4 linked regions of the Kluyveromyces lactis genome follow. The protein of the gene in region 4 interacts with the protein of the main gene of each other region in a pairwise test. Links are inferred from orthologs where the notes say so. Each region holds a gene or a part of one and is shown on either strand. Other genes may lie near its edges. The genes, in order: YOP1, ECM31, DCG1 and DST1.

The links.
Region 1: the proteins of DST1 (region 4) and YOP1 interact in a two-hybrid assay, tested with the Schizosaccharomyces pombe proteins (2 studies listed by BioGRID, with this or other methods). The link is inferred for Kluyveromyces lactis from reciprocal best matches to the Schizosaccharomyces pombe genes tfs1 and yop1.
Region 2: the proteins of DST1 (region 4) and ECM31 interact in a two-hybrid assay, tested with the Schizosaccharomyces pombe proteins (2 studies listed by BioGRID, with this or other methods). The link is inferred for Kluyveromyces lactis from reciprocal best matches to the Schizosaccharomyces pombe genes tfs1 and ecm31.
Region 3: the proteins of DST1 (region 4) and DCG1 interact in a two-hybrid assay, tested with the Schizosaccharomyces pombe proteins (2 studies listed by BioGRID, with this or other methods). The link is inferred for Kluyveromyces lactis from reciprocal best matches to the Schizosaccharomyces pombe genes tfs1 and SPOM_SPAC1F7.10.

Annotation. Positions count from the first base shown.
Region 1 is NC_006041.1:596,382-599,065, forward strand, and holds YOP1 (Yop1p), read right to left. Parts: upstream 1,206-2,684; coding exon 1,155-1,205; intron 1,053-1,154; coding exon 561-1,052; downstream 1-560. Other genes in the region: APL4 (AP-1 complex subunit gamma), read left to right, coding at 1-382; alpha,alpha-trehalase ATH1, read right to left, coding at 1,831-2,684. UniProt on the Schizosaccharomyces pombe protein: Required to generate and maintain the structure of the tubular endoplasmic reticulum network and the vacuole. Induces high curvature in membranes and causes membrane tubule formation. Involved in membrane/vesicle trafficking.
Region 2 is NC_006041.1:2,167,870-2,170,838, forward strand, and holds ECM31 (3-methyl-2-oxobutanoate hydroxymethyltransferase), read right to left. Parts: upstream 1,466-2,969; coding exon 509-1,465; downstream 1-508. Other genes in the region: FMP30 (N-acetylphosphatidylethanolamine-hydrolyzing phospholipase D), read left to right, coding at 1-469.
Region 3 is NC_006038.1:937,806-940,406, reverse strand, and holds DCG1 (Dcg1p), read left to right. Parts: upstream 1-1,189; coding exon 1,190-2,020; downstream 2,021-2,601. Other genes in the region: MET16 (phosphoadenylyl-sulfate reductase (thioredoxin)), read left to right, coding at 1-732; MRP2 (mitochondrial 37S ribosomal protein uS14m), read left to right, coding at 2,308-2,601.
Region 4 is NC_006042.1:863,862-866,725, reverse strand, and holds DST1 (transcription elongation factor DST1), read left to right. Parts: upstream 1-1,422; coding exon 1,423-2,301; downstream 2,302-2,864. Other genes in the region: RNA15 (Rna15p), read right to left, coding at 240-1,016; DPC13 (Dpc13p), read left to right, coding at 2,806-2,864. UniProt on the Schizosaccharomyces pombe protein: Necessary for efficient RNA polymerase II transcription elongation past template-encoded arresting sites.

The sequences.
Region 1 (2,684 bases), on a different chromosome or scaffold from region 4:
CCAATCATCAAATCAAAATGGGTCAACTTTATCATCATCCTTCCAACAACGCATAGAAATACCACCAAACTCTATCAATATCCACTCATCTGATATTGTTGAAGTTTATGGTAAAGTAGAATCGTCAATCCCCGGTTGTACTGAAATAGACCTATTCTTGAAAGCTAAAACGAATATTAATACCTTACAGATCCTAATCGCTGTTCCTAAATCACAGAAGGCAGAATTCGGATCTCTGTCAAGCCACAAGGTAGCTACAGGTGAAGTAGCTAAGCAGGGTCTTAAAATTCTAGGATCTGGGAAAATCAAGCTAAGGGTCAAATTGAATATCAACTCCACCGAGGATCAATTCGATTATAAATTTGAAAACATCCCCCATTAACGAGCGTTAAAGATGCCTTAAAGTAATATTGTGTAAACTATAAAACGATATAACAATCACATCATGTAGATAAGGGATCTATGTCGATAAACACCGGTACGAGTTCACATTTCCGCAATCAAATAAGCGAACTCAAAAGAAAATTGGACCAGAGGGTGATTTTTCAACTAAGAAGAATTTAACGGGAGTATCCAGAAGCCTTAGCGTTGTTGGCAGCAGCTTCGACTTTCTGGGCCAGTTCTCCCGATTTCCCTTCCACGATAGGTAGGTATTTGTCAGAGAATGGTGAAATCAACCTCGTGTAAACAAGTTGGGCACCGCCGAATGATGGAATGGCAATGTACAGTAAGAAAACAGTCTTAAAGAACCAGTAGAATGGAACCCAGTACAAAATAGCCTTGGACCAGAACTCGATCACAGACAAAAACGAAAAAACAATCCAATAAGTTAACAATTGTGTGTCATCCGTTGATGTGGCAGTCTTCAATGCTTTCAAAGAATAGTATGTTGGAATACAGAATCCAACAAAGTTGGATAAAATCTCACCAATTCCACCAACATTGATAAAAATTAAGAGAAAGTAAACAGCAACAAGACCAACGATAACATATGATCTTGGCAATTTTGTTTGAGCTTCAATACGAGACAAAATTTGATTACCAGCGAATTTCTAAGTTAGAATTGGTTAGTATATTAAGTTTTAAAGTAGTATTATTTTCTCTGTTAGTTACGAGAAGCATCCGAAAGATAATAAAAATCCTAGTAAACATACAGTGTCCAAACCCTTCAAGGAATCTTGAAATAATTTCAGATAGTCTGCCATTGTTGTTTGATTGTAGATTTGTTGGATTGATAGAGTGCAGACTTAAGGTAAATCAAAAAAATTTGAAGGAGGAGGAATTATCGCTCACTGGCAAGTTAGATGTATCCCTTTAAATTTCATTCTTTAGTTTATATTTTTTTTTCACTTTTCAGAATTCGTTGCGTTTTAAGAAACAGCCAGACCTAATGGAATGTTCTATCCGAGCCACAGAAAACGAAAAAAAAAAAGAGGAACACTAACTTTAGCAAGTGGAACCAATATGAGCAAATCACCACCGGTTTCAACAAGTCGCTGCTTTAGCTCAGTTGGGAGAGCGTATGACTGAAGTTCATAAGGTCCTGTGTTCGATCCACAGAAGCAGCATATTTTTTCTAATCCCGTACGCCTTCTTTTTTTTTGGTTTTTTTTTCGCCGCTGAAGTTTCGAACGTTCATATTGGAAGCTAATACTATTTAAAAGTGTCAGATTGAGTATATGAAGGAATACACTAAGGAATGCCAAAAAAAAAATGAAAACATTTCATTATGAATAAAAACTTTTAGGGACAGCATTTGAATTAGCTGACCGACTAATCAAATAACTATCAAACTAAAAATGTCCCGTATATGAGACTTATGTGCATGTCTTATGGGAATAATGCAAATTCTTTAATTGTCGCTCCCTTTTCATCATCGTCATCATCATAAGTGTCATGAACAGTTAGAACTATGAATCTTCCCTTTCTCCAATCAGTTTGATTGCCACGAAAATCAATATCAACATTTTCGGGATTCATTTCAGCCACTTTTGAATAATCAATATCGAAATCGGTCTCATTTCCAGGCAATAATACAATTTGGGACTCATTATATACTCGCCATGGGTATGGTTCTGATGGTGTTACCTTATAGTGATCCAAAATCTTTACAAATTTAGTTTTCATATCTTTAAGTTCAGGATGAGTACTGATTATACTATCTGGATCAATACCGTACCAGTCAAAAACATCTTCAATCGCTGCATCAAAACCTTTTTCTGTCCGTTCCAAATCGCGTACACATTCATCACCAGTCTTATTGCAATATTGATTGACGTTTGATAATATATGCGTCAAATTTTTGAATACCTCTTCTGTTTGTGGCAATATCGACAACGAAAAGGTCTTTGCAGGCCTCGAACCCCATATAATCTTGCCTGACTTGATCTCTTGCGTGAAATTATTCCCCATATCGATTAATAGCCTTGCTGGCAAGTTTTTATATGCGGGCTGCCAGTGTGTGAAATTATTACCGTCGATAACCGAAACAGCAACATCACCAGGAACGCCAGCTGTTAGGTTAGTTATTTGCTTTGCTTCCACGAGGTTTCCCTCAAGATTTTTTTTCGGAATATATAACGGAGTCTTGAAAACGTCCCCAGGTTGAATGGTAAAATAATTCTTGCCAGTAGGAACAGATCTCCTACCATGCAAAATTTGTTTGATGGGATCAGTTTCTTCTG
Region 2 (2,969 bases), on a different chromosome or scaffold from region 4:
GCAAGAAGATACCATTTACCAAATATCCTCCACGCCGGCAATGCATTGGTCAGGAAGATCTGTGTTAGATGCGAATAGGTCATTATGGTGTTCGTTCATAGTACATAAGGGTAACAAACCGGTGTTATTCCATGCGGGAGACACTGGTTTTGTGCATGATTTATACAAAAGAATCGTTAAAAAATATGGGAGCGGCGTACGGCTAGCTTTGCTCCCCTGTGGTCAATATTGCCCCGAATGGCATCAAAGGCCTCGACATATAAACCCAGCAGAAGTCATCAAGATCATGAATGATTTGGATGCGCAAACTGCTCTTGGTATCCACTGGGGAACATTTCTTCTGAGTGGGGAGTACTTTAGAGAACCTAAAGAGAAACTAGAGTTCTTATCTGAGTTTAACGAATTAAAAGATAGATGCTTTTGTCCCGAGTTGGGTGAGACTTTAGATTTCTCAAATAATGTAGAATAAATAATGAATAGGCACCGAAATATCTTTCAAAAAGACTGTTCACTCAGTATCTATCTTAGAAATAAAATCTTGGTACACTTCATCGTTTACTTTGAAAGTGTGGTGGCCTATATGTGGGAAAGATTTATCATGAACTTCTTGAACGTACTGAGACAAAGCAGAAACAGCGTCCTTCTTAAAATCTGCGAACATTTTAACAAATTTCGGTTTATGTCCGGGAAGCATCCCAAGAACGTCAGATTGCACCAACACCTGGCCACTAGTATCTGGGCCTGCACCGATACCAATGGTGGGAATGTGTAATTTGTCCGTGATGACAGAAGATATCTTATGCGGAATACATTCCAATACAATACCGAAACATCCGATCTGTTGCAAAGTTTGACTAACGTTGTACAACGCCACAGCATCAGTGCTCTGTTGACCACCCTGGGCCTTGTACCCGCCTAGTGAATGGACTCTTTGTGGAGTCAATCCTATATGCCCTATCACTGATATACCACGTCTAACCAACTCTTTGATATATTCTAGCGAGTAATCATCTTGAGACAATCCACACTCTACTTTCACGGCTTGCACTTTGGGATTCAAATGTAACAACTGGAACGCGTTACCGATCCCATCAGAAATTGATCTTTCAAAGGATCCGAAGGGCATATCGACAACGACAAATGCAGGACCTGGAGCGCGACAAACAGCACCAACATGATATTGAAATTCGTCAAGAGAAAGCTGAGTAGTTGATTCATACCCTAAAGAACACATAGCGACGGAGTCACCTACTAAAATCATATCTGAGTTGGCATTCTGTGCCCAGCTTGCTGTTATATAGTCATACGCAGTAACCATCGAAATGGGGTTTCTACGATGGTATTTTGCCATAATATCCTTAACGGTAAGCTGATGAACAGCTTTGGCGGTTGCTGCAACCGCCGAGCTGTTCTGCAGCGAGTACCATCTCCTGCCTATACACCGAATCATACCGTTGCTCCACATCTCGGCTCATCTCAACTCATCTCATCTTAGACACGTTCACCTATTTGACAAATTCTGAAATCTTCAATTTCACATACTTAAGACAAGGAAAAAATGCGTCAAAAGTTTTCTTTTTCTTTTTTTCACTTGCCTCCCATAGCACCTCAGCAAAAGAACATACTTCCGGTTATCAGTAGCGTCGGCTGAAAACTAAGGTTTGGTCAAGCGTCAACGAGCTTGTAAGTGCCCCCATAGTCTAGCAAGTCGGGATAAGCACGAGGTATTTTTTCCGGCTCATGTTGACGCCGGAATATATCCCACAGTAGAGTGGACTTTAACACTGTCTGTATTGTAATACTAGCTTTCCCTTCCTACGCTGGTAGGAGTACGAAACAGCCACTCTTTTCCGTTAAGCGAATACTTTATTCTCTTGGTTGCCAGGAACTGAATGTAGCCGGTTTCCTATTTGTTCCGATACCCACGCTTTATGCAAGTAAAGGCTACAAATGGAGGTGGGGCAGTACACAAACCCCCACCATACAAAGACTCCGAGCCCAGAAACCCCCACAGAATCAAGAGAATACAAACAACATATCGCACTATATTCGCCTATCCCAAGACCAACGGGTTTATCGTGATTTATATTGTAAAGCCAAAAAGGTTTAGATTTTGTTTTTTTTACCCAGATTTCGGATAAACCTGCATGATTTATAAGAGCCGTTTCTTGTTAACGCGCATAGAGTCCGCAAAAAAAGAAAGAGAACAAGAAAGGACCCGTAATAGGTCTTCTGGACAGTTGACTAAGCGTTTTCTTAACTATAACTTCGCACTTGGCTTCTCATAGAACTGGAAATTTGTAGCTTTACTTCTGTGTGTTTGTGTCTTTATTGTTTCTGGTTGCGATCCTCGAATTAACACGCACCTATCTAGTTTTTGATAAAAGCCCCAACTTATGTATACAGAGTTAATCTACGATGGAGCCCTCATTTTTCCTACTTCCGTTCCTTTACTGTGTATGCATTACAATTTATCCACCATTCTCGATAGTTTTAAACCCGTTCTTTGTGTTGTCTTTAGACATGTGGCATAAATGCCGTTTTTCGGACCTAGTTTGTACTGGCATTCCAGTATACCTTATATTGACTACCATTTAGATCTTTTTTTTTTTTCATGCCTTCTCTATCTCTCCGAGGTTCCTTTACAATGTAGTGTAGATTATGTCACTACACAAGTATTCGGAGGACCTTCTTTTTCTAAGATAGTTTATTGAGTTGACAGATTACACAATCCAACAAGAACAGATAATCCGTGAGAAAATAATAGCGTAGAAGAGACGGAATAGTATCTAAGTCCCTAGAAATCTCTTTCTTGTTACTACAAAGGAGGTTATTGTTACCTCGGCTGGAGATAAGTGTGTACGGCACCTTACAGAGCTCTGTACGTATGAGTAAGGGATTCGAGAAAGATAGATCAATTTTGTAGTTGATTTTTGAGGTAATTTATTTCGGTTTATTATCGATTGCTA
Region 3 (2,601 bases), on a different chromosome or scaffold from region 4:
TGGAATGAAAAGTTAAGTGAATTGTCACCTGAAGAAATTATACGTTGGGCTATCGTTACTTTCCCACATTTATTTCAAACCACTGCGTTTGGCTTAACTGGGTTGGCTACTATCGATATGCTTTCTAAGATTAATCAAAATGAAACAGAACCAATCGTTCCATTAATATTTATTGATACATTGCACCATTTCCCTCAGACGTTAGAGCTTTTGAAAGTGGTAGAAACTCGGTATTACAAGCCAAGAGGACAGAATGTCAATGTATATCAGCCGAAAGATTGTGGTTCGGAGCAAGAATTTGCTGCCAAATACGGTGATTTCTTATGGGATACAGACGATGATAAATACGATTTCCTAGTCAAGGTGGAACCTGCTCATAGAGCTTATAAGGAATTGCAAGTGACTGCTGTATTCACTGGTAGAAGAAAGAGTCAAGGTGGTGCAAGGTCGAATCTGAAATTCATCGAATTGGACGAATTCAATCATATCATCAAGATCAACCCGCTAGCGAACTGGGACTTCAACCAAGTGCAAAGTTATATCCGTGATAATAACGTACCTTACAATGAATTGCTAGATCTAGGATACCGGTCGATTGGTGATTATCACTCTACACAACCTGTTCAAGAAGGTGAGGATGAGAGATCAGGCAGGTGGAAGGGTAAGGCAAAGACGGAATGTGGGATTCACGAGACAAGCAGATTTGCACAATATCTCAAACAAAGAGAATGATATGTGTTTGATATATATATATATATATATATCTTTTCTGTTGTATACTGTGCATGCGGCATCTCTTATCTAGCTTTATTTATGGTTTCAGTTTAGATACACAACGTGACATTTTTAGTCACTTAATGTACATATTATATATGTTGCGACTAAGGTGGAAAGTGTATGAACAGTTGCGAACCTTACCCATGCAACTTGGAAGAGAAACCCCCAGCTTGAATCTCTCATCAATTCTCATGACTGTCAAAGCCTAAAGTTTTTGGGCTGATTCACACTATGATAACCGGGAAAAAATGAATCAAAGGTTCTGAAAACATGCGTCCGGACAGATACGAAAAGCAACATAAACCAAAGAGAGAAACTTATATAACTCTGTATGATAGGAGTCAAGTAGCTCATTATTCCAGGATGATTAACATATTGAATCATAGAACATAGCTGACACTAACAAGCAAGGATGTCGTTGTCTAAATTACCTTTCGTAAAGCACAAGAAGAGTTTACCAGATGATGAGCTCATCAAGGTCTTATTTGTAAACCCTAATTCAACCCAAGCAATGACCGATGCCTGTTTAAAGATATTGGCTGGTCATGTAGCTCCAGACACTGTGGTTTACGGGTACACTGCACCATTTGGTAAGGCACCCAATGTGATTGAGGGTCATCTCGATGGTATTCAATCTGCAATTGCCGTTATGGAAGATGCTTACGATGTAATAAACCAAGTCGATTGTGTACTTGTTGGATGTTTTAGCGACCATCCATTGATAAAATCTATCAGGGAAGAATTTGATGATGTTGTGTGCATGGGTATCGTGGAAGCAGCCGTGTACTCATCCAGGATCATTGGATCAAAATTCGGTATTCTTGCATCAATTTACAAGGCTCAGTTAAGAGATGAGGAAACCATAGCAGGTCTTGGCATGTCCACATTTTGCGTTGGATTGTTAAGTTCTGGTATCAAAACCGTATCGGATTTGGTCAAAGTGGAAGAAGCTGAGCTTCATAAAACAATGTCTAAAACTGCCTTGACCTTAGTAGAAGAATATCACGCAGACACCATCATCTTGGGCTGTGCAGGGATGAGCGACTTGAAAAATGCTGTTGCAAACGCTTTACAGCAGAATGGCTATGAAGTGCCAATTATTGACGGAGTGGTATGCGGGATCAACATTGTTTCGGCTGTCTACAGAAGTGGATTACACGGTACATCCAAACAAGGAGCTTATTCAAGTGCTAGAAAGGCAAGAGAACTAAGAGGTGATACAGTTGAAATCAAGAAGTCATGATACTGGGAGTCCATTGGCATGGTGCTGTGTTCATTCCATTCCTTATATAACGTGTATAGTGCCAATATAGTCAGGTGACCTCCATCAAGAACGTTTAACATGATATGAACTTCAAGCTTTGAAAGAGAAAAAAACGAGTTTGGAGCTTCTCCGGAAGATGAAGAATAAAGTTCAAGCATTAGTGGATGCATTCTTTGGTTTTCGGCGTATTCAGTATCTGTGAGACTAATTTCGATAGTTATCCTAGCAATTAGTATATCCAAAGGAAGGCTGTAGATATAAACAACATGGGTGGTTTCAGATTTCCAATCAAGACAAAGCTTCCTTCAACGTATTTGAATGCTAGAGTTATCAGAGACAATTTCAAGAGACAGCAAGTTGCAGACAATGAAGTCACTGTAAAGGCATTGAAATTCATTGCTAGAAATACTACTCTACCTCCAAGGTCGAGAATGGAAGCTCAGTTACAACTTTCTGTGATGCCTAACTATACAAGAATGACACAAATCAAGAACAGATGTATTGAAACGGGACACTCCAGATCTGTTCTGAGTGATTTCAGATTGTGTAGATCGCAATTC
Region 4 (2,864 bases):
GAGTAAGCTTGGTTATTAACCCTTCTCTTCATTATTTCCATAAAATTATACTGCTACTTCTGTCTTACCGTCAAGCGCATTCTGGCTCATTGAAGGTATATTTTAGAGACTGAACTTTACTTCATCCGAAAGTGCGTATTCAATTTGTACATTCTACACCGTTTCATCTATAAGCATTAATGAACTTTATAGTTGACGCATGTTCATTATTTTTGATTTTCCATCCATGAGACGATCTATTAAAGATGACCGAATTCACCTTTCATTGCCCTCTGTTTGAGTTCCCAAACTGCCATCTTTTCGTCTTGCGGAAGCATTGCTATATCTGAATCCTGTAGCTGTAGAACTTGCCTTAGAAGATCCACTTTCTCTTCGTCTAATCCGTCTTCCACTGTGTTATCAGTCTGTTCCTCTGGCCTTTGTTTACTCGCCATAGCCAATTGTGTCAATTGGTCCACACTGCACACACCGTTACTCAACAGGAGTTCCGCAATAGCATAGCTCAATTGAGGTGCCTCTTCTAGGAGTGCTACGAAAGTTTCCTTGTCGTCTTTACAGAAATGTTGGATTACTTTTAGTAGAGCCATCTGTTGGTCCTTTTGTAGCTTCCCCAATTCACTACTGATACACATTGCTGGTGTAGTCATATTGATGTTAACGTCCACCCCTACCGGGAGCCATGGGAACTTCACATCCTCAACCATGTTTCCATTCTCCTCTTCATCTCCGGGGCCAGATCCGCTGCCGTTTATGCCACTACCGGTGGTGTATCCGCACTTTAACGATCTTGAACCCAATGTATACCCGTTCAAGTTTCTAACTGCACTTGCCGAAGTTGCCAAATCTTTGAATTCAATAAAAGCATAACCCTTAGATTTACCCGTCGTTGGGTCAAACATCATCTTCATTGCCGTTACTGGTCCTATCGTCTGACATAGGTCTAATATTTGTTGTTCTGTTTGGTCATACGGTATCGAACCTAAATAAACTGTGCGCGATGGATTTCCCCTGTTCATTGCTTTTTAACTATTTCTATGATTGAAATTGGTTGCACCAGGTTATTTTCACAGCTAGCTGTCTGGTGGAAGTCTGTCTTACAAGTCCTTCGATGCTCTTAGCGGTACTTTATAAGTGTAATAAAACTCAGATATGGCTTTATTGTTCGATTCTTCAACTTTCGTCATCAACTTCAATTCTAATTTTTTTTTCAATGTTCGAATGAAATGAAATTAGAATTGAAAACTAATTAATGACTTCAAACAATCAACACTGTCCATTGTCCAAATGGTGGATTTCAGCAGGTCCTAACTCATTAGAATCTGTTGAGAGCAATATTTGCTGTGTATTATTAACATTCATTCTTCATCTTCGAAAGAAATTGATCCTGGAATATAGATAGAAACTGAGATATCTTCTGCGGATATGGAAACCAAGGACGTTTTAGAAGCCGTCAAAGGATTAGAGAAGAACAAAAATAATAATGATGTTGTGTTCAAGATTCTACAGTCATTAGATAAAGATTTGAAAGATGTTAATGAGAAGCTTCTTAGAGAGACGAAAGTAGGGGTCGTAGTCAACCAATTTAAGAAATCTTCCAATCCAGACATCGTCAAATTGGTGAAGAAGATGATTTTATCCTGGAAAGATGCTGTGGCTCGTGAAAAGAAAAGCAAACTAAGCAGCAATTCCTCATCTACAAGTAACAATAATGGTACAAGCGGTGGAGAAGCAGTAAAGAAGGAGAAATATGTCAGCAAAGCTCCAAGAAATGCTAAGAACGACGGTGTGAAAACGGATATATATGGTGTCAAGATTAGAGATATGGCTATTAGGGCATTATATGATGCATTGGCAAAAGAAAGTGAACATCCTCCAGTAGCTATCCTAGATACAGTAATGAGTATTGAGACAGAAATGGCTAATCTGTTCAATCCCGAGTCTGACGAAAAGGGATATCGTGACAAATACAGAATAATTTACTCAAATATAATCTCCAAGAACAATCCAGATTTGAAACATAGAATTACGAATGGAGAAGTATCAGCCAAACATTTAGTGACTGCTGATCCTAAGGACTTGGCACCGGAACATTTAAAGAAGAAAATTGAGGAAATTGAGAAACAGAATTTGTTTAATGCACAAGGTGCAACTGTAGAAAGATCAGTAACAGATAGATTCCAATGTGGCAAATGTAAACAAAGAAAAGTATCATACTACCAACTACAAACAAGATCTGCGGATGAACCTCTTACTACTTTTTGTACATGTGAGAATTGCGGTAATAGATGGAAGTTCTCGTAGTTGAAATTCTCACTTTGAATTTTACGAAGATAGCCTTGGCATATGATACACTAAAGCAGCATGATGATGGCAGTGATCAAGCACTAAAACTCTTTCGTTATTTCATTGCTAGCTAGATGTGTACACATAGCATCCGCCAATTCTACATCATACATTCTTCCGGCTAACTAGTATTTCATGTATAAATGACCAAAGTTGTAATATCACAATTAAGAATCGTATCTATGGTAAATACTCTACAGATGGTGTTGAATTCATTGTAGTTCGATTTGTTTATATATTGCAAGCTCAAATGAAAATAGTCGGTGCTCACCTTCAATTATTACCTTCAGACTCCTGTTCGATAACAGTCCATCATGTTAAGGTCTGAAATTTTATCAACTTCAAAAAAATGTGAAAGCGCAATTATCTTTCCGCTTGCATACTAAATTAAGAAAATATAGAATATCCGAGACCTAACCGGTCCTGTTGCTGTGGAACTTCAATAATCCTCATATAGAAAACATGTTATCGCGTTCTGTATTCCGTTCTGGGCTAAGAGCTGCCACATTTGGAGCAGTTAC